Linked DNA regions of Rattus norvegicus. The protein of the gene in region 1 interacts with the protein of each later gene in a biochemical or structural test. Links are inferred from orthologs where the notes say so. Each region holds a gene or a part of one and is shown in the gene's direction. Other genes may lie near its edges. The genes, in order: Tnfrsf13b, Tnfsf13 and Tnfsf13b.

Region 1 (6,832 bases):
CATGCATGCACATGCGCACATGTGTGTGCAAACATGTGTGTACATATGTGTAGTGCACATGTGTATATGCTTCTATGTGTGTATATATATGTGTACACGTATGCATATGTACATGTGTATGTGTATATGTGTATATGCTTGTCTACGTGTTTGTATGTGTGCATGTATGCATATGTATGTGTATATGTATGTACGTGCAAATGTGTCTGTACGTGTGTATGTGTGCATGTATGTGTATGTGCATATATATGTATATGCATGCATGTTTGTGTGCATGTGTATGTGTGTATGTGTGTATATGCTTATGTATGTGTACATGTATGTGTTATGTATGTATGTATACGTGTGCATGTGTATGGGTGTGCATCCTACTGTCAGCATTCTGCTGTAGTGCCTTTCCTCTCAGTGGAGGCCTCTTGCACACCTCCATTGACCAGGTGCTGGTGCTGCCTTTGATCTCTAAACCCTGGCTATGCAGCCTCTGTCCAGTGGATGGTAGCCACATTGCTGTCAGTGTCCTGTTGCCACTAACAAGCTTCCAGTGATGGGCTTTCTAGGTTTCAAGGGTCAGTATTGGGTAGACAGTGACCTAAAATGGTTCTGTGCAACCAGAGGTTCCATTAGAAGGATGTTCATGTCTCCTTAGCACACCTGCAGCCTGTCTCAGGATCATCCTTCAGAGAATTAGAACCTGGTGGATGACATTGGACTGTCACAGTTTAGTTAATTTCCTTCCTCCTTCCCTTGGTCCCCCCCTTTGTCCCTCCCTTCCTCCCTTATTTCCTCCCTTCCTCCCTTCCTTCCTTTCTCCCTCCCATCCTCCCTTCCTTTCTTCCTCCCTTCCTCCCTTCCTCCCTTCCTCCATCCCTTCCTTCTTCCCTTCCTCCTTTCCTCCCTTCCTTCCTCCCTTCCTCTCACCTTCCCTTCCTTTCTTCTCTTCCTCTCACCTTCCCTTCCTTTCTTCTCTTCCTCTCACCTTCCCTTCCTTTCTCCCCTCTCTCCCTCTCTTCCTTTCTCCCTCCCACCCTCCTTTCCTTCCTTCCACCCTTTTCCCTTTATTCTTTCTCTCACTCTCCCTCCCTCCTTTCCTTCCCTCTTTCCTTCCACTCTCCCTTTCCTTCTCCCACTCTCCCTCCCTCCCTTCTTCCCTTCCTCCTTTCCTTCCTTCCTCCCCTTTTCTCTCCCACCCTCCCTTCCTTCTCTCTCCCCTTTCTCCCTTCTTCACTCTCGCCCTCTTTCCCTCTCTTCCTCCTCTCTTCCGTGCTGGATACTGAACCCAAGACCCTGTGAATGTCAAGCCATATCCCCAACCTCCAGCTCCTAAATTGTCTCTCTGTCTCCCAACCCATACTCTCCACGATGTAGCCCAGGCTGGATCCCTCTACTTTAGCCTCCTGAGCACTAGGATTAAGGGTATGAGCCATTTTGTTTTCCGGTGCTGAGGATAAACCCAGGGCCTCTCATCCATGCTTGACCACTGAGCTGCACTGCAGTAATGAAGTTCTTTTGAGCTACATGGCATATTACTATGAATCGTAGTCATCCTGCTATACAACAGATCCACAGAACTACCTAGCTGAAGCTGGGACCTTCTGACCAACTTATCCCCACCCTCCACAGCCTCTGATGCCTGATTTCCTCCCCAGCCATAAGACCTCTGTCTCACAAAGGAGTGAGGACATGTGGCTTTTGTTTTTCTATGATCAGCTCCTTTTCTTTCTATTTAAACAATTGATTTCAATTTTTAAATTTTTATCCGTATGGTGTCCTGCTTGAATACGTGTCTGTGTATCATACATATGTCTGAGGTCCTTGGACAAGAGGGCATTGGGTCCCCTGGAACCCAAGTTACAGATGTTTGTGAGCCACGTGTGGGTGCCGGGAGTTGAACCTCGGTCCTCTGAAGGGCAGCCTTTGTGCTCATCCCTGCTGGACTGTGATCTCTTCTTCTTTTGTTTGTTGTTTGAGGCAATATTTCTCTGTGTAGCCCAGGCTGTCCTGGGACTAGCGCTGTAGGTCAGTCAAGAGAACTCCGAGATCTGCCAGCTTCTGTCTCTCAAATCCTGGGATTAAAGGCATGTGCCAGCACACCCAGCCCAACTTCCTTTTTTATACACAAAGTTTTCCAGTTCCATCCATATTCATACAAATGTAGGAGTTCCCTCTCTATTGAGAATGAAGAGAATCCCATTGTTTACACACACCACAGTTTCCTTATCTACTCATCCACTGAACACATGCAGATTGACTTCGTATCTGGGCTACTGTGAACAGCACTACAATGAACTTGGGAGGGCAACTGTTGGGCTTTCTTATCCCTGCAGGATTCCGAGACCTGGGAGTATACGGAAATGGAGTTGAAGCCCAGGGTAATCAGGGCTGTGGCACTGATTCGCCCATGTCCCTTATTGGAGGAGTCACTGTGCACTGAGAACGTGCTGTAAGAATGAACCTGTGGTGGCCAGGTGTGGAGCACACCTGAACTCCCAACACTCTGGAGTCTGAGGCAGGGAGATCTTGAGTTCAAGCCAGCCTTGCCCAGCTTAGTGACACCTGTGCCAAGAGAACTAAAAACCAGACAAAGAACAATCAAGTGACTGTGAGAACTCGTGTCATTTTCACAATGACTCAAGGACCCACTTTCCAGATGAGGGCATGAAGGTACGAGTCACTTTATACCTAAGTCCTTACCAAGGCATCGGACCCAGAAGCAAGATCCAAATCTGCAGGGACTGCACAGAACACTGGTACCTAATGTCCTGGGGGCAGTCACAGATGGCTTCCTGGGGGAGGTGACGCTTCAACTGAGCATTGAAGAAGGGACAGCATGAACTGACCAGGCAGAAACAAAGAATGTAATAGTCCAAGAGGAGGGAAGGCTATGCAGGGAGCACAAGAGCTGTGTGGGCATCCTAGCCTGGAGAGCGGACAGTGGATAGGAACCAGGCCTAGGAGTTGGGCAGGGAAGATCTAGAATTATCCAAGCCCTGTCATAACACAACCGGACTAAGCCCCCACTGCTAAGCTAACGGGACAGGTCGCTCACCTGTACTCCCTGGACTAAGGCGCAGGCGCAGGCGCAGGTCAACAGGGCGGCTTATTTACATCCCCAGGTCGAAGGGGGAAAACCCAGGAAGTGTGGCCTAGGCCTAACAAAATCTCAGGCTAATAATAAACGCCCTGAGTAATGAGTGGTGTGGGCCAGGGCAGGCAGGAGGCTGGCGCTGTTGGCACAGGAGCGTGGTGAGTAGCCAGCCGTGGTGGGTGAGGGCCAAGAGGGTGCTCCGGGGGCTGGGGATCCAGCAGTGCCACCGCAGGCACAAGATAAGGCTACTCAGGTTTCGGACAGCCTCAGTCCTGCACACCGGAGAAGCCTCCAGGGGTCAGGTCTTGCCTTCCAGGGGGAGTGGGGTCAGGCAAACAGGCAAGAACCTTTGTTTTCTATCCATGTGCTCCAGACTTTCTCCTTGTGCCCCCAGATTATTTTGAAGTGAATCTGGTAGATTTTAGATGCCTCGGGAGTCAGCATTTAGAACTCCGCCCTCACTTAGCTGTCGTGAATTTCTAAGAACTCTTAATATCACAAAGCGCCAACGAGCATAGGTGTTGAGCAAGAAGTGCCGACGGTGTGCGTCCTCGGTGGACAGATTCAAATCAGTCCTTCGTGGCCCACAGGAGAAAATGGGTTCTGTATTTCCACCTCTACCTGTTCCAATCTGCCTTCTTGTTTTTCTTGCTGATTTTCGTTGATGAATCAGGGCCGCTTATCCTATAGTGTGCCTGGGGTGATTTAGAGAGTTCCCTCCAAGGCGGAGAGGTTCCTCATCAGGACCCTTGCTCACAGCGGCTCCACCTCTCCCCATACCCAAGCTGGCCTCAGGCAGGCCTTCGCTAGGATTTCCATCTCTGTCCAGCAACCATGTCTGCCAAGGATGCAATTAAGTTTCACAGAGAATGCAGAGTCAGTGATCAGGAGCCACCTTGACCCAAGAGGAAATGTCAGAGGGCCTGGGACCAGGAATTAGGAATCAGGCAGAACGGACCGGATTCCATAGCAGCTTCCTAGTGCTGCCGGGAGAGCTGGGACAGGTGGAGAGATCAAGTTACCATTTGTTCGTAGTTTGTACACTGCCCCTTGATCTCGGAAAAGTCTCTTCTACAAAATGGACCCCAAATCCACAAACCTGCTTTCAACCCTTCAGACTCTCTTGAAGAGTCACAAGCAAAAGTTCTGGGAAGTTAAAACTAAACAATAACAACAAAAGAATCCTTCGACTAATTTTAATATTTCAAATAATTTAAAATTTAAAATAATTATTTAAATATTTATTATATTTGTACTATCGTGAGATAGGCGTACATTCTTTCTGTTCATAGTTTTCTCCCTAACAATAAAAGCTAACAATAAAACCTCTCTGCCTTGGAGGAAACTCTCTAAATTACCCCAGGCACATTATAGGATAAGCAGCCCTGCTTTATCAGCAATAATCACCAAGAAAAATAAGAAGGCAGATGGGGACAGGTAGAGATGGGAATATAGAACCATGGTGGACACGGTTGCTGGACAGAGAGGAAATTAAAAATAGAAAAGTGCTGGCCAGGTGTAGTGGTGCACACCTTTAATTCTAGCACTTGTGAGGCAGAGGCAAGCAGATCCCTGGGAGTTTGAGACCAGCTTGGTTTACATAATGAGTTTTAGAAAAGCCAGGGCTACATAGTGAGAGCCTGCTTCAAAAACATCATGATGATGATGATGATGATGATGATGATGATGATGGTGGTGGTGGTGGTGGTGGTGATGGTGATGGTGATGATGGTGATGGTGATGGTGATGGTGATGGTGATAATGATAATGAGATGATGGTGATGATGACGATGATGATGATGATCCATTAAAATGAAAGTAACCACCTTAATATATTTCACATAACAATTATATTTTACTCAAATAGAAAAATGCTTTATTTAAAAAAAGAAAAAGCCAGAAGTATTTGGATTCATAGCAAAAAGCTGTGGTTTGGGCCTTGTGTTCTTAAAACTGTCTTGAGTGTTTGGTTCTACAGCAGTACAGGCCAGCTCGCTCACACCGGTACCTGACTGGTACCGAAAACTGAGCCTTTCCTTCCTCTTTCAAGGTATTTACAGTAGGAGCCAAACGTGTCCTGTGTCCAGATTTATTTTTGCTTTTTGTTTCCTTGGCTTGGTTCTTCAAGAAGACAAGGTTTCTCTGTGTAGCCGTGGCTGTTCTGAAACTCTCTGTAGACAGACCAGCCTTGAAATCAGAGCTCCTCCTGCCTCTGCCTCCCAAGTGCTGGGATGAAAGGCGTGGGCCACCCTCGCCTCCCAGCCTGTGTCCAGTTTTTAAAAGGTGCACGAATTCAAAGTTGCCTTCCTCGGTGCCTGGACTAAGGGGTAAGGAATCCATCAGTCTGGGGCTTGGAAGAGAAGCGCCAGTTGATGAGCTCCTGCTTTGCACAGGATAAGAAGTGACCTTACAGTCAGTCCTGCTAAGGAGCCTGAGCACCACCTTGCAGACACGACAGGTCTTCCTGTGTGGGGCGAGCTGCTGTCTTGACTTTTAAAAAGCGGGTTACAAACTAATCTACCTTATCAGTCTTCCATGAAGCAGAGCCTGCTGTCTAGCCAAGCATGTCAGGGGCCTCTAGAAATTGTAGGACCCGCCGACTCTTGGGTTTCAGGGTACGCGGAAACCTCTGTGTTCATCTGAGCCCAGTGCGCCTGTCTAGGCTACAAGAGGAATTTCCTGCCATCCACCAAAGGAGCTGCCTCAGTTGCTGTCACCCTCGGGGGTCTCCTGCCCCTCCTAGGGGCTGGGCAGTGCTTCTGGCCTTTTCATGGATCTAGCTGGTGGGTAAGAAAGAAGGGTAGACACAGCTTCTTCCGGTCAGTCTCGAGGTCTGACGCAAGTGGCTGTGGTGGGTCATGGAGCCTCTCTCCAGTTGGCCTGCCTATCTCACTCACTCCAATTTATAAAGGATTTCCGTTTTTAGTATCAACACAATTTTGTAGCTTTCCCCACAACCTAATTTTAGGATGTTTCTAATATCAGAAGAAACCTTATTAATCTTTCTCTCTCCTGCCTCCAGCCGCAGACTACAGCTCTCCTATCTCTAGAGGTTTGAGGGTCTTGGATACTTTGTATCATCAGCCTCAATCTCTGTGTGTGCTGTGATTCTGTGTTCCCTGTTTCTTCACGTGTTCTCACAGGTTACCTATGCTGTAGCGTGGCCAGTACTGCATGTTCACAACTAAGTGATATCGCATTTTAGGGACAGACTGTACTGTGTTTATCTTTTGAGCAGTATGCTTTCATTCTTTTGGCTAGACAGCTACCTAGGTGTGGAACGACCGGCTGCCACAGTGACTTGGTTGAATTTTTAAATAATGGTCACTTGACAAAGTGGTCACAACATTGCCTAATCCCATTTGATGCACAGAGTCCTCACTGTCTGTCCCTATCCCCTGTCTAAGCACTGTAGCAGTCCCAGCAGGGGATGGTTTGAGTTTCTTTGCCCAGTGCTGAGCTGGGCACCTTTCTCTGTGCCTGTTGTTCATCCATGCATAATTTTGGAGAAATGTCTATTCAACTCTTTAGCACAATTTTTAGTTTTAAAGACTTTTAAGTCTCTGATCATTTTATTTTATTTTATTTTTATTTATTTGTTTTCTTATTTATTGTTTTTTTGTTTTGTTTTGGTTTGGTTTTTGAGACAGGGTTTCTCTGTGTAACAGTTTTGCCTATCCTGGAACTCCCTTTGTAGATCAGGCTGACCTCGAACTCAGAGAGTTGCACCTGCCTCTGCATCTGAGT
Region 2 (7,068 bases), about 8.6 Mb from region 1:
CTCTGTGAGTTAGAGACTAGCTTGGTCAATATAGTGGACAATCAGAACAGCTAAGACTACAGAGAGAGATCCTATCACAAACAAAACCCCACAAGGCCAAGCCTCATAAAGTGGCACACACCCATAATCTCAGCACTTGCAAGGTAGCATAAGGAATCCAAGTTCATCCTCAACTGCACAGCAAGTTTAAGGCTAGCCTGAGCTACGTGAGACTGTGCCAAAAATAATAGTAATAAAAAGAGAAGAAGAAGCCATGTATCCTTTAGCCATCACACCATAGTCCCATCAGGGCTAGCCTTGGGCAATCACCTGCCCACTTGCTGTCTCTATAAACTACTTTTCCAGGCAGTTCCTGTGCTTGGGAGACTATGGCGCATGGTTCTTTCACTTAGCACAGTATGTTTAAGGCTTGTCCACCTGGTGGCAAGAAACTTCTTTATTCCTTTTATAGCAGAGTGAGGCCCAGTAGATAGGACTGCAGTGTTTGCTCATCTGTTCATTTGCTGATGGGCACTAAATGTTACTTTGTTTTGTTTTGTGACCAGCGTTCTCTGTGTATTCTTGGCTCTTCTGGAACTTGCTCTAAGACCAAGCTGGCCTCAGACTCACAGAGATCTGCTTGCCTCTGCCTCCCAAGTGCTGGGATTAGAGGCGTACACCATTGATGCTACGTATATTCCTATTTGTATAGGAAGTTTTAAACTCATAGCCAGTGAGCCTGTGGCCCGTCACTCATTTTTTTTTTAAATTTATTTATTTATTTTTATGTATGAGTACACTGTTGCTGTCTTCAGACACACCAGAAGAGGGCATTGGATCCTATTAAGATGGTTGTGAGCCACCATGTGGTTGCTGGGAATTGAACTCAGAACCTCTGGAAGAACAGTCAGTGCTTTTAACCTCTGAGCCATCTCTCCAGCCCCCGTCACTCATTTTTAATCGACTCAAATGATGTACACACAAACATGCACATGCATCTTATATGTTCAAGACACAAACCATGTTGATGAGATAGATGTGAAAACCCCAGCCTCTCTCTTACAGCACTGCTCTTCTATCCCCTCAGAAGCCCTGAAGTGCCCTGGTCATATACATTAGGTCTCCTCACACAATACCTTCTAGTCACTTCTTGTACCATAATGGCATGGCTCCACCTATACTCTGGGCCACTGATACCCTTCGGGGTAGGTTGTACCTCACAAATATGTAAACTTGATGGATTCTTAGGGAGTGTGGGGGAGTCTGGTAAAGGGCTTCTACTTATCCCTACACATCCCCTATCCAGGTGTGGATGGGACAGTGAGTGGCTGGGAAGAGACCAAAATCAACAGCTCCAGCCCTCTGCGCTATGACCGCCAGATTGGGGAATTTACGGTCATCAGGGCTGGGCTCTACTACCTGTACTGTCAGGTAAGCCCTGGGCTCCATGGGTAGAGCGATGGCTAAGGGGAGGAAGGCTTGGCAAGGAATGGGTGGGAGTGGGAGAACCTGGGTTTCATGAAGGAAGATGCCTGGATTTCGATGAGGGCAGGCAGAGGTCTGGATTTTGCTGGTTTCTCTCTGCTCCAGGTGCACTTTGATGAGGGGAAGGCAGTCTACCTGAAGCTGGACTTGCTGGTGAATGGTGTGCTGGCCCTGCGCTGCCTGGAAGAATTCTCAGCCACAGCAGCGAGCTCTCCTGGGCCCCAGCTCCGTCTGTGCCAGGTGTCTGGGCTGTTGCCTCTGCGGCCAGGGTCTTCCCTTCGGATCCGTACCCTCCCCTGGGCTCATCTTAAGGCTGCCCCCTTCCTTACCTACTTTGGACTCTTTCAAGTTCACTGAGGGGTCCTGCTCTCCCAGGTTCTTTAAACTTTAACCTAACAGCTCCCAGAGCACCACAGCACCTCCCCACCCCACGCCCACTCCTCCACCCTCTAGCTGTTCCTTGCTCCAGTCCTGTCCTCTCTTCCAAGGCAGCCAGGGCTTGATGACATGTTTTCCATTCCACAGACATATTCCCGTTCTTCTGTAACCTCCCACCCCACCACAGCTGCCCGCCTCACGAGCTCCCAAAGCCCCCACGTACCCGACTACCCCGCCCCAACCCTGGGACCCTGTTTTTACTGACTATGTGCATCAGGCATCAAGATAGGCTGGACCTGGTGGCAGGAAGCCAAAGAACCTGGGACTAGGCCAGAAGTTCCCAAATGTGAGGGGAAAGAGATGGAGACAAGCTCCTCCCTGGATCCCTGTGGATTTTGAAAAGATACTATTTTTATTATTATTGTGACAAAATGTTAAATGGATATTAAAGAGAATAAATCATGATTTCTCTTCTTTGGGGTTCAGTGTAACTGAAGGTTGTGGGAAGGGAATCTTAGGCTTTGGGGAATGGGGACCTGCAAGCCTCCAAGCTGCAGTTTTGAATAGAAATCACAAAGATACCAGAAAAAAAAAAACCATGCAAACAACAACAAAACCACCTGGTCCTCTGCACAAGGCGCTGCAGAAGCAGCCTCATTTTCCTAGCAGCGGACTTCCTCCTGCAGGGGAATCCCTGGCTGGGAGGAGCAGGGTCCTTCCTCTTGGCGGCCTCAGGACATTCAGCAGTTGAGCAGGTGCTGGCACGGGCCTGGCTAGGAGATGGAATGGAGCTAGCCCGGGAAGGGGCTCAGAGCCATAGGAAGGGCTCTGGTGGGCCAGCCGTATGGGTGTGGGGAGGAGTGCTGCGCTGACTGAGGGGCTTGGGGCTTTTTTCTTTTCTCTTTGTCCAGAGAACCTTATGTAAGAACTCTTCTTGGGAAACAGGAAGTCCGGCTTGCCAAGTTCAGCACAGGGAGTAGTGCAGGCCTGGTTCCAACACACCCGGCCCAGCCTTAACCCCAGCACCCTGCCAGTTTCTTGTCCTTGGTTCTCCTCCCTGCTGGCCCCTAGCCCCCCTTTTTTTTTCATTTCCAGTCACCCCTAACAAGCCTCCTCAAAGCTGTCATTTGTGCCTCAGGCAGAGAGAGAGTCCACCACACTCACCTTCTAAGGCTCATGCTGCTGAGCTTGTCCCCATTCCCTGCCCCTGGCACCATGCCCCATAACCAACCGACCTTCCCTCCTCCAACTTAGGGGCCGCCCCTGGGCTCCTGAACGCTGACCGCTCCTTCTGGGTGTCACGGCTGCCCTGCCCTTCCTAGATAATTGGCACCAAATTCTCCTGAGGCTTGGGGGGGAGGGGGCCAGGGGTGTCAGAGGGACACTAGCTGGGGATCAGGGGACTAATAGGACCCTAGCTTGATTTCTTCCTATTCTCAAGTTCCTTTTTATTTCTCCCTTGCGTAACTCGCTCTTCCCTTCTGCGCCTTTGCCTGTATTCCCACCCTCCCTGCTACCTCCTGGCCACCTCACTTGCAGCCCACAGCTGTCAGCAGGGTCCCTAGCTCATGCCAGCCTCATCTCCAGGCAACATGGGAGGCTCAGTCAGAGAGCCAGCCCTTTCGGTCACTCTTTGGTTGAGTTGGGGGGCAGTTCTGGGGGCTGTGACTTGTGCTGTCGCACTACTGATCCAACAAGCAGAGTTGCAGAGCCTAAGGCGGGAGGTGAGCCGGCTGCAGCGGAGTGGAGGAGCTTCCCAGAAGCGGGGAGAGCCTCCATGGCAGAGCCTCTGGGAACAGGTGAGTTAAGGGAGATGGGAATCTAGGGGTAAAGGGTGAATGGCAGAGGCTCTCAGAGCCTCTCAACCTGCAAACTTTCAAGTGAGTGCTAGAGGTGGCCCTGGATTGGGAAGTCAAGGGAACAGCCAGCCGTTCCAGGAAAATAAACAGTTAAAGATTAATGCCAAGAGCACCTGAAAGGCAGTCAGTGCCCAGACCAGGGGCCTATGACAGGTTCCTACATTTCAGCCATTCAGGCGTTGAGAAGGGCTGGGAAGGTTGTGTAAGATCCTTAACATCTTAGTCAAACTCTGGCCCTCTTTCATGAGCAGAGTCCTGATGTCCTGGGAGCCTGGAAGGATGGGGCCAAATCTCGGAGAAGGAGAGCAGTACTCACCCAGAAGCACAAGAGTGAGTGAGCCCTGGGGTTTCTGCAGGGTTGGAGGTGAGCCAGGAGCATGAGGAATGACGACCAGAGCTGAGGTGAGGGTGGAGGGTGGACTCCGGGGGCAGGTCAACACTGCTGTTTCCTCCTCCTTTCCTTAGAGAAGCAGTCCGTTCTGCATCTTGTTCCAATTAACATTACCTCCAAGGGTAAGCATTATTTGAAATAACCGCACTGGGAGGGGCACCAACCAGGAACTGTGGGGCTGGGGCCAAGAGAACCCTAGAAATGAGAAGGGAGAGAGCTCATGTGTATGAGGGTGAAGAAATGCTGACCTGCACACTCCTCACCTCTAGCAGACTCTGACATGACAGAGGTGATGTGGCAACCAGCTCTTAGGCGTGGGAGAGGCCTGGAGGCCCAAGGAGACACTGTTCGAGTCCGGGACACTGGAATTTATCTGCTATATAGTCAGGTAATCCCAGACAAGCCCTGAGCGACCAATGTGGACATGGAGACTGGCTTGTCTCTTCTATGTACCCTGTCTGTACTGAGGGTTTCCCTGATCACTCTGCTCATACCAAACCCAGAACAACCCCTCCTTATTGCCTGGCTCCACTACCAGTGATCCTATGGCCCCTAAGGACTGAACCGTGCCGTCCTGGTTTTCTTCAGCATCTCCCTCCTCTGACAGGTCCTGTTTCATGATGTGACTTTCACCATGGGTCAGGTGGTATCTCGGGAAGGCCAAGGGAGAAGGGAGACTCTATTCCGGTGTATCAAAAGTATGCCTTCTGATCCTGACCGTGCCTACAACAGCTGCTACAGTGCAGGTGAGAACTGTGGGGTCTGAAGAGGGTTGATCTGAATGAGCAGAGCAGGTCACATCCACTCAAGCAGAGCTGACTTGGTGTGGGGAATTATACGAGGGAGTTGGGAACTTGGGTGTAGAGACAAAACTGAAGACTGAAGAACAAGATTCCCAGGTCCTTGCAGGGAGAAAAGGCACAAGCCTATGAATGACTAGGTCCGTGCCTATAATCCCATGTTTGAAGCTGAAGTGGGAGTTTTACCCAAAATTCAAGATCAGCCCAGGCTACAGAATGAGGCTGTTTAAAAAATTAAAAAGGAAAGCCAGTGAGACGGCTCACTTAGGAGAGGTGCCTGCTCCATCTCTCACAACTCACTACCTGGGCTTGATGCCACAGAGCAGAAGGAAAACCGACTCTCCTAAGTGGTCTTCTGATCTCCTCCACACATGCACATGTTCCCCAACAAAACACTGAAAACATAAAAATCAAAATGGAGGAGGGGTTGGAGCAGGCAGAATGAAGCATCTGAAATGTTTTTCCCCCCTCAGGTGTCTTTCACTTACATCAAGGGGATATTATCACTGTCAAAATTCCTCGGGCAAACGCAAAACTTAGCCTTTCTCCACATGGAACATTCCTGGGGTTTGTGAAACTATGACTGTGCTATAAAGGTGGGGTTCCCATTCCAAGAACTGGCTAGACAAAGGACAGCAAGTGGTCAAGAACCGTTCTCCTTGGTTTTGACGTCTTGACTGTTGTTCCCCGCTTTGCCTTTCCCGATCCCACTATCTGGGTTCTGATTCCATAGATATTAAAGAAGTAGAATATTTTGTGTCTATCTCCCACATGGCCCCAAATTCTTTTGTTGTGTGTGTTAAAGGGGTTTTGTGCACTGTGCCAAGCCTTATCCACTGGACTGCATCCAGAACAGCACCACCATCTAGAGGCAGTTTGAGGAAAGAACACGGTCTCTGCTAGGGAAAACGTGTCCCTCGGCCACAACTCTTCAAGCCCCCTGCTTCAATGTACAAGAAGCCCGATTTTCACTATCTCACTATTGCGTCCAAATTCTTGTTACTGTCTAGAAAAAAAATGTATTTTAGGTGCCTCGACATCCATTCCATTCATGCTCCCCATTCCCCTAGCAAACTTCCGAGCTGAACATTGTGCTTCACCGCTTTAATCCCAGTACTCGGAGGCCTATTTCTATGTTAGCGGTCAACTTGGTCTAAATAGTGAGTTCCAGGCCATCCAGGGGTTACAGTGGTTGAGACCCTGTTTCAAACAAACAAATAAAAGACTCTACAAGATCGGACTGGTATTCGGGGAGTTTGTATGCACTGGACGCCCTGGCACACTGGTCGTGTCTCACTCTTTAATCAAGCCCTGCTTAAAGTTGAAAAAAAAAATCAAAATACAAAAACGTAACGTCCCGCCTCCGCCTCCCAAGCGCCTAGCCTCAGTCCAGTCCCTGCAGGGTCTCTGACTTCCTGGCCACGCGCTGGGAAGCCCACTGGATCACCCGAAGCTCAGGCCACGGAAGAGCAGGGAGTACCGTACGACTGCGACGTAGAGCGTGAGGCTGGACGCGACACGCAGGCGTAAAAGAGCGAGCAGTGGGACTGCCACACGCGGCAACCTAGGCGACTGTGCGCAGGCTCGGTTCAGCGTAGAGCTCGAGGGCGGGACCGTCCGGTGGCCTGGACGCTCTGAGGTAGGCGGGACTGAGCACGAGCCGGCGCCGCTCGCCGGGTGTGACGCACTAATTGTGCGCCGCCATCGGCGGTGGGCCTGGGGCTCGCGGGAGGGGAAGGAGGAGGAGGGGTGGTGGCGGTGGTGGTGGTGGTGGAGGTGGAGGTAGAGGTGGAGGCTAAAGCCGCGCTAGAGGCGGCCGCAGTGGGGCGGCACGAGCTTTGGCTTCGTGAATTGAAACGGCTCCGCCTGAGGACAGCAGGAGTGGCGGGGTCGCCGCCGTCCGAAAGATGAGCCGGAAAGCCTGAGGCGGAGACACCCGCCTTGGGGCCCGTGTGCCCGGCTTCCCCGCTCCTGGTGAGGACGCCCCTTCCCCTCCCCCCGCCCTTGTGGCCTCTTCCATTTCTAGTCTTCCCTCGCACCTAACTGGGCCCAAGAGGCCCTTTAAAGGACTTAAGACCGTTGTGTGCCGAGTCGCCCAAGCTTTCAAACTATATTGCGGCTAGGAAGCATTCAGTTCTCCCAGGATAAGACTGGAGAGGGGCCGGTCTGCCAGGCC
Region 3 (6,873 bases), on another chromosome or scaffold:
CCTCCAGAGTGGGTGACACCTAAGGCACGAACCACACATTCAGTGAGGCACAGGAAACAATGACACATGAGAGCAGTGCAGGAAGAAAGGAGAGCTTGCATCAGCCATGGTCAATCAGTCAATCAGGACGATGCCAATACTAGTAGAGGAGAAATAGCAACATCCCAGCATCCCGAACAAACAACAAACCCACAGGAAGCGGCAACCCCTTCTCAAGAAAACCGAGTATGAATGTCCTCAACAACCCAATGCAGACTAACTCAGTGCATTAAAACAAGGTCGAACTATCTGGCGTTCCAACTGACAGGCCTTACGTGACGGACACCCATAAACCGCCTAAGGACAACGGACACACCAGTGCTGTGCTGAGCTTCACCTAGCAAAGCTCTGATTAAATCATCAAACCATTTCCTGTGCAGGAAACAAACCTTTGAGTTAGGGAGAGATAACTTTGTCTTGTTCATCTCCTAAGAAACCAAAGAGTCATAAATGTGAAGGAGCTGTTTTGGTGTGAACTCTGCAGTGGTTATGCCAACAATGGTGCCTGCCAGCCAGAGGGAGGCTCCCTGGCAACCATTTTTTTTTAAACAGTAGCCATTGATACCCAGTGACACCACTCCCTGAATCAACATCGGATGCTTATTCTAAAATGACCTGAACTCAGATTGCCTGGGCTTTAACTTAAGGAGCTTGACCATGAAGTTCTTTCCCTAATCGAGTAGAAAAGATGAAGGGTGTCCTTTAGCCCGGCTAGATAACTCCCTCTGAATAAACTATACAGAGACCCAAGAGGAAGGTGCTGTGTCTTGGTCTCACACTCCTTCTAGTCATTTAATTTCTGTACGTCATTTGGTAATAAAACATGACTGAGATATGTGCTTGATTTTGAAGCAGTGTTTTACTATGGAGCCCAGGCTAACATTGAACTCACAATCCTCCTATCTCGGCCTATCATGTGGTGGAATTCTAATCCTACCATTAAGTCTCATGAGTGAGTCTTAATGTCTTAGTCTCTGAGTGGAGGTCCCTATTACTACCAGTAGTCATTGCCTGTGATGCTGGACTGAAGCTCAGTCACCCAAATATCGTTTGATGTCAGACCTAAAGAAAAGTCACGGGGCTGGAGAGATGGCTCAGTGGTTAAGAGCACTGACTGCTCTTCCCGAGGTCCTGAGTTCAAATCCCAGCAACCACATGGTGGCTTACAACCATCTGTAATGAAATCTGATGCCCTCTTCTGGTGTATCTGAAGACAGCTACAGTGTACTCATAGATAATAAATAAATAAAATATTAAAAATTTAAAAAAAAAAGAAAAGTCACCCACATACTTAATATCCTATTTTCACTTTGGAGATTAGAGAACAGCTCGTTTGGGGGGTAAAGATTGCAGCCACTGGCTTACAAAGTTCTTTAGAACTCACATAACGAAAGAAAGGAAAGCCTGCAGTCCCAATGAAGAAGACTCCTAGCATCACTCGGGGATGAGTTGGGAAATGACAATCCAACAGCATTTCTTTTTGACACTTTGCAAAAGGGAAGATGTGTCTTGGTGGGGACCCCCTGCAGATATTACTGTGACAATCATAAAAATACCAATTTTAGCACTGAGTACCACAGCAAGAATCCTCCCTCTGTGCTGTGGTGGTGGTGCATACCCGTAATCCCAGCACTTAGGAGGCAGAGGCAGGTGGGGTGGTCTCTGAGTTCTAGGCCAGCCTGGTCTATGGAGAGAGTTCCAGAACATCGAGGGATATGCAAAGAAACCATGTCTTGCAAAAGAAAAGAAAAGAAAAGAAAAAGAAAGAAGGAAAGAAAGAAAGAAAGAAAGAAAGAAAGAAAGAAAGAAAGAAAGAAAGAAAGGAAGGAAGGAAGAAAGGAAGAAAGAAAGAAAGGAAGAAAGAAACTGATCTAATTCTGTAATTGACATAGGGAAAGCCAGGCACAGAAGCAGGATGGGTGGCTGGGAAGCCTCCCTCTGGAGTTCTTGCAGCTGTGCATCCTTGTTTCTGAGATTTTCTTCTTAAGCTTAGGAGGGAAGGCAGCATAAGGCTAAACCCCAGCAGCCTGAAGTTTATACAGTGACTAAGCTAAATCCTCAATGGCCTATACTGAAAGATAAATGGATGTTGAGGTACCAGGCCCCCAACCAGCCTTCCAGACCAGGAAAGACTAAAATGAATGAAACAGTGTCTGCATGTCACCAAGCCCAAGCACAGACTGAAGACATTCTGTGTCCATAGCTGTGAAATGAGTGCCATCAATGTGGAGATCCTACATCAGCTCCTAGCACAGGTCACGGTGTGTGCGTGTGTGCATGTGTGTGCACACGTGTGTGTGTGTGCATGTGTGTGTGCGTGTGTGCATATGTATGTGCACACATGTGTATGTGCGTTGTGTGTGTGCATGTATGTGCATGTGTGTATGTGCGTATGTGCGTATGTGCGTATGTGTGTGTGTGCGTGTATGTGTGTGTGTGTGTGTGTGTGAGAGAGAGAGAGAGAGAGAGAGAGAGAGAGAGAGAGAGAGATCTGAGCCTAACAGCTCTCTGACACCGAGTCTCAAAGGCAAAGAGGAAGCCATGCTTCCCTGTAATCCACCCCACATTTAAAGAGTCCCCAGTGTGGCCTTAAATAGATCTCTACCACGTTCTCTTCGTTGTCATGTCAAGATGAGAGCAGAGAACTTCGGGTGGAGTTCACTCCGCTTTATGACACTCCATTTCGTCTTCCACCGGGGAGCTGTTAGCTTCCTTGTCCTGCAGCCAAATGCAGTTCATGCTCGAGCACTGGGCTTATCTGACTTGCACATTAATTATCCTTTATTACACCACTAGGCCTTCAGTGTCCCCTTTCCTCTTCCTTAGAAACCATGTGGCTCCAAGTAGACAGTTCTTAAGGGCATGCCGAAGGGAAAGCACCTTCGATAAACTTGTCTGGAGTAAGCCAGTCTGAATCTCAAGCTGCTCCCAGCCGTCGTGTCAGAGGCCTCATATCTCCCACAAACAGGACTATATTGAGATAGAATGAAAAATCTTACAAAAACTGAAAGTGAAATGCGGAAGACAGATTGAGCAATCAATGGAAGGCCAGAGCCAGAGAACCTACTTCAGGGTAGCAAAAGATGCAGAAGAGAGAAAGTCAGGAGAGTGCCATGCTCTGAGGGCAGCCTCCTGAGACACAGATGACAGGAAATGACCTACCCCCATGGTCACTTACTCCAAAGGCCCAGACCTTCAAAGTGCTCCTCTTGGAATGGATAAGTCTGCAAAGAACCTGCCACCACCGCGCCTCTGTTTTTGCCCTGAGAAAGGAGAAGATATGAAAGTGGGATATGTTCCCATCACTCCGCAGAAGGAGGGTGCCTGGGTTGGGATCTGCAGGGACAGACGGCTGCTGGCTGCTACCCTCCTGCTGGCTCTGTTGTCCAGCAGTTTCACAGCGATGTCCTTGTACCAGTTGGCTGTCCTGCAAGCAGACCTGATGAGCCTGCGCATGGAGCTGCAGAGCTACCGAAGTTCAGCGACACCCGCCGCCCCGGGGGCTCCAGGGTTGTCCGCGGGAGTCAAAGTGAGTTCACTCCCCCGCTCTGCCTGTGCAGGAGCACCAGGTATGACACTCTGCTGCTGTCCAGTAACTGGTTGTCTCTATTCCCAGCTCCCAACACCCGCAGCTCCTGGACCCCACAACTCCAGCCGAGGCCAAAGGAACAGACGCGCTTTCCAGGGACCGGAGGAAACAGGTATGACTGGGGCACAGCAGTTAGGAGCTGGGGCGGTGCTGTGCACACCTGCACCCGCCCGGCGGCGGCGGTGAGCAAAGCACTTTGTGTGGCTTTGTAGCAAATGCAATAGGCTGCGTGGCGTGCCTTCCCCTACACTGAGCAGGGCATGTGGACAGGAGGATAGGGTGCACGTATCCCTCACAGTGATGGTGTGCTCAAGAACTTAGCAGCAGAGTTCTTCCTGTCACCGCAGAGTCATGTGACCACCTGGATCTTGGTTAAGAAGCCATTCCCTAGCATTTTTCAGATTTCCCTTGTTCTAGCAAAGTTGAGGTAGGACAAACCCTGCATTATGAGGGTTTACTAATTTTTTTCTTAACACATACACGCGCACACTCACACGGTGGGGGCAGGTGCAAACCACACAGAAATGGCAAAGACTGTAATGTACCCTTGCCACATGCAACATAATTCCCGCGTAATCATTCTGCTGTGGCTTTGGTGATTTCTGTCCATTCTCTAGCGTTTTGCAGAGTTGGGAGCTACTAAAAATGAACTTTTCTTCTTACTTCATGGGGGAAAAAGAAGCAATACTTGTCTGTTAGCAATACGATTTAACACATCCCTGCTGTTGTCTGCTTTTTTATTCTTATAAAAAATTTACCCGATAATCCGAGTTAAAAATACCTAAAAATAAGTTAAAATAATTTCAACTGAGTTAAAATTAACTTTAAGTTATTAAGTGACTTAAAAATAAACAACAAAAATTATTGAGTTCTAAGTTACATGCTAAAAGAGTGCGTGGAGTTATTACATGCACTGCAGAACTAAACATTTTGCACAAATTTGAAATTTACTGTATTCAGTGTGAGTGACCTTCTATCTTTTTTTGCTGAAATGATTTTAGCATATATAGTGCGATGTATACAATACTAGCACACATGCCACAATGAGGGAATAATAGCACACAGTTACAGAGCATCACATGCTATATATTACGGTGTATGTAATAATAGCTCATAATCACAGTACATATAACTGTATAAGCACTATACCCTGCTTTATTCTGTTTTTTATTTTACAACAAGTATCTCACAGACTTCTTAGTAATTCCCTTGGTCTAATCTACTATTTGTCTTTTAAATAATTATTTTATTGTTACTGTGATTGATACAAGATACACACAAATTTTTTGTGTATCTCTTGTTTCTGAGGAATTATGCATTCGATAGAACCATAGTTTATTATTCGACTTTCTTACTCTGAACTCTTTGGGTCACAGGTTTCTATGTACTCATTAGCATTCCGTCCTTATACCTTCATTTTGATAGTTTTATAGCTTCGCCTTGCTTCTCAAGTTTAAGTGTGAACCCCATTCTCTAATTGTAAATATTTTTCACGTGTTCTTATTTTACTTTCAATTTTATGTTTTTTTTAAGTTTTGTCGATTGGCTGGCTATCTAGCCTATGTTTTTTTTTTTTTTTTTTTTTTTTTTACAATTTGACGTTGATGTAAATACTTGCACTGCGTCTTGTATTTTCTTCAAACCTATAGAGAGGTGTGGTGTGTTTATTAAAGAGATTCTTGTTTCCGCTGGTTTAAGTTAAAGCCCCTGGCTCCCTAAGTAGCAAGCTACGATCCCCTTTACTTGCCTCTTGTTTTGACTAAGTGTCCCTTTGCTCCTAACCTATTAATCCTGTGTCTCTTATTGTGGTAAAGCCTCTCACACTGGTATAACTTCCTCCTTTCTCCATCCCGCTTCAGGCTGTTGTCTCAAACAAAAGCATGAAAGTGTTCTCCAGAATGCTTGTGCTGGTGAACTTGGGGCATCAAGTTCTTTATACGCGACTGAATTTATGTGAGATAGTTTTATCGCCAGCTTCTTCCTCTACCCTTCTGCTTCATATGGACTAAGTAGTTTTACATTTTAGTGGACATCAATACACAGTCAGGCAGGGTGCCACAGTGATCTTAAGTCATGTCTCCTACACTTCCAGGCTTCCTAAAGACTGGTTTCAAAAATAACTTTGCCATTCTAAAGAGGACATAGACTCATTTTAAAAGGTTTAAGAGTAAAGAATAGGAGAGAATTATGGTGTATGTCTTTAATGCCAGCACGTGGGAGGTAGAGTCAGGCAGAACTTTGTGAGTTCAACACCCAGCCTGATCTATATGGAAAGTTCTGGACCAACAGGGCTACATAGGAAGAAAAAGGAGAGGGGGAGTGGGGGAGGGGGGGAGAGAGAGAGAGAGAGAGAGAGAGAGAGAGAGAGAGACTAGGTTAAATATCCTATAATGATATATTTTAAATAATTTTCACATTTGCATATTTTATAGGTTTGTGATTTTGTGCATCCAAATATTTCAGGCTGACGAAACTGGAAGAGGAAAATTAATTAATAATTTGTAAAATTTAAAGAATAATGTACTGTCAATATATGATACACATATTTTGTTTTTTCTTCATTTATATTTCCCCAATACTCATAAATCCAAGATAAGAAAGTTGCAGATCTGAGTCTCAAGGAAGGGAAATGTCTCCTGTTCCTGGACAATTAAAGTATCGACTCTTGTTTCCTATACTCTCCTTCTGAATTAGGGAAACGTACTTTATCAGTGACCACTGTGATTATCTACTAATCCACAAAAGTTATCTGAAACACAAGGATTTTCTATTGGTTTACTGGAGTCTTATTTTTTTATTGATAAAAGCGTGTTTATTTTTGTAAATTTTGTTACACCTGGTTGTTCTGACTGTTTTCTTGGACTTGAACTAACCTTGGTGTGTTCCTTTTACTTTCACAAGTGTCCGCTGAGGCTTTTACTGGGAACTGCTTACATCTGTTTCTGAGCTGTGGGTATCTCCATTCTCTCTCTTCTGACAGCAGTAGAAGAGAAAGGCAGACCCACACAAGTCCTCTGAGTCCTCTGGGGATAGAGTACTTTTACTTAATTTTAAAACAGCATTTTGGCATACTTTTTTAAGTTATTTTGAATTTGAATTATATTTTATTAAGCTTAGTGCATTTTATAAGGTCATTTTATTGCAATACGATAAACAGAAATGTGGGGAAATCCAGGATTAAACAATTGCCAAATAGCTTATCATAACCAACAATTCACTCTTAATCCTTTAAATGTGTTTGGAAA

Evidence for each region.
Region 2: the proteins of Tnfrsf13b (region 1) and Tnfsf13 form a complex in vitro, tested with the Homo sapiens proteins (2 studies listed by BioGRID and IntAct). The link is inferred for Rattus norvegicus from reciprocal best matches to the Homo sapiens genes TNFRSF13B and TNFSF13.
Region 3: the proteins of Tnfrsf13b (region 1) and Tnfsf13b form a complex in vitro, tested with the Homo sapiens proteins (3 studies listed by BioGRID and IntAct, with this or other methods). The link is inferred for Rattus norvegicus from reciprocal best matches to the Homo sapiens genes TNFRSF13B and TNFSF13B.

The regions. Positions count from the first base shown.
Region 1 is NC_086028.1:46,298,146-46,304,977, forward strand, and holds the start of Tnfrsf13b (tumor necrosis factor receptor superfamily member 13B), read left to right. Parts: upstream 1-3,190; 5' UTR 3,191-3,243; intron 3,244-6,832. UniProt on the Homo sapiens protein: Receptor for TNFSF13/APRIL and TNFSF13B/TALL1/BAFF/BLYS that binds both ligands with similar high affinity. Mediates calcineurin-dependent activation of NF-AT, as well as activation of NF-kappa-B and AP-1.
Region 2 is NC_086028.1:54,897,864-54,904,931, reverse strand, and holds Tnfsf13 (tumor necrosis factor ligand superfamily member 13), read left to right. Parts: upstream 1-3,116; 5' UTR 3,117-3,410; coding exon 3,411-3,641; exon of another isoform or gene 3,642-3,952; coding exon 3,953-4,031; exon of another isoform or gene 4,032-4,166; coding exon 4,167-4,214; coding exon of another isoform or gene 4,215-4,287; intron 4,288-4,361; coding exon of another isoform or gene 4,362-4,364; coding exon 4,365-4,480; intron 4,481-4,699; coding exon 4,700-4,838; intron 4,839-5,195; exon of another isoform or gene 5,196-5,365; coding exon 5,366-5,475; 3' UTR 5,476-5,697; coding exon of another isoform or gene 5,698-5,795; 3' UTR 5,796-6,127; downstream 6,128-7,068. Other genes in the region: Tnfsf12 (tumor necrosis factor ligand superfamily member 12), read left to right, coding at 1,286-1,410, 1,570-1,821; uncharacterized protein Eif4a1l, read right to left, coding at 4,203-4,287. UniProt on the Homo sapiens protein: Cytokine that binds to TNFRSF13B/TACI and to TNFRSF17/BCMA. Plays a role in the regulation of tumor cell growth. May be involved in monocyte/macrophage-mediated immunological processes.
Region 3 is NC_086034.1:86,190,692-86,197,564, reverse strand, and holds the start of Tnfsf13b (tumor necrosis factor ligand superfamily member 13B), read left to right. Parts: upstream 1-3,065; 5' UTR 3,066-3,205; coding exon 3,206-3,568; intron 3,569-3,655; coding exon 3,656-3,740; intron 3,741-6,873. UniProt on the Homo sapiens protein: Cytokine that binds to TNFRSF13B/TACI and TNFRSF17/BCMA. TNFSF13/APRIL binds to the same 2 receptors. Together, they form a 2 ligands -2 receptors pathway involved in the stimulation of B- and T-cell function and the regulation of humoral immunity.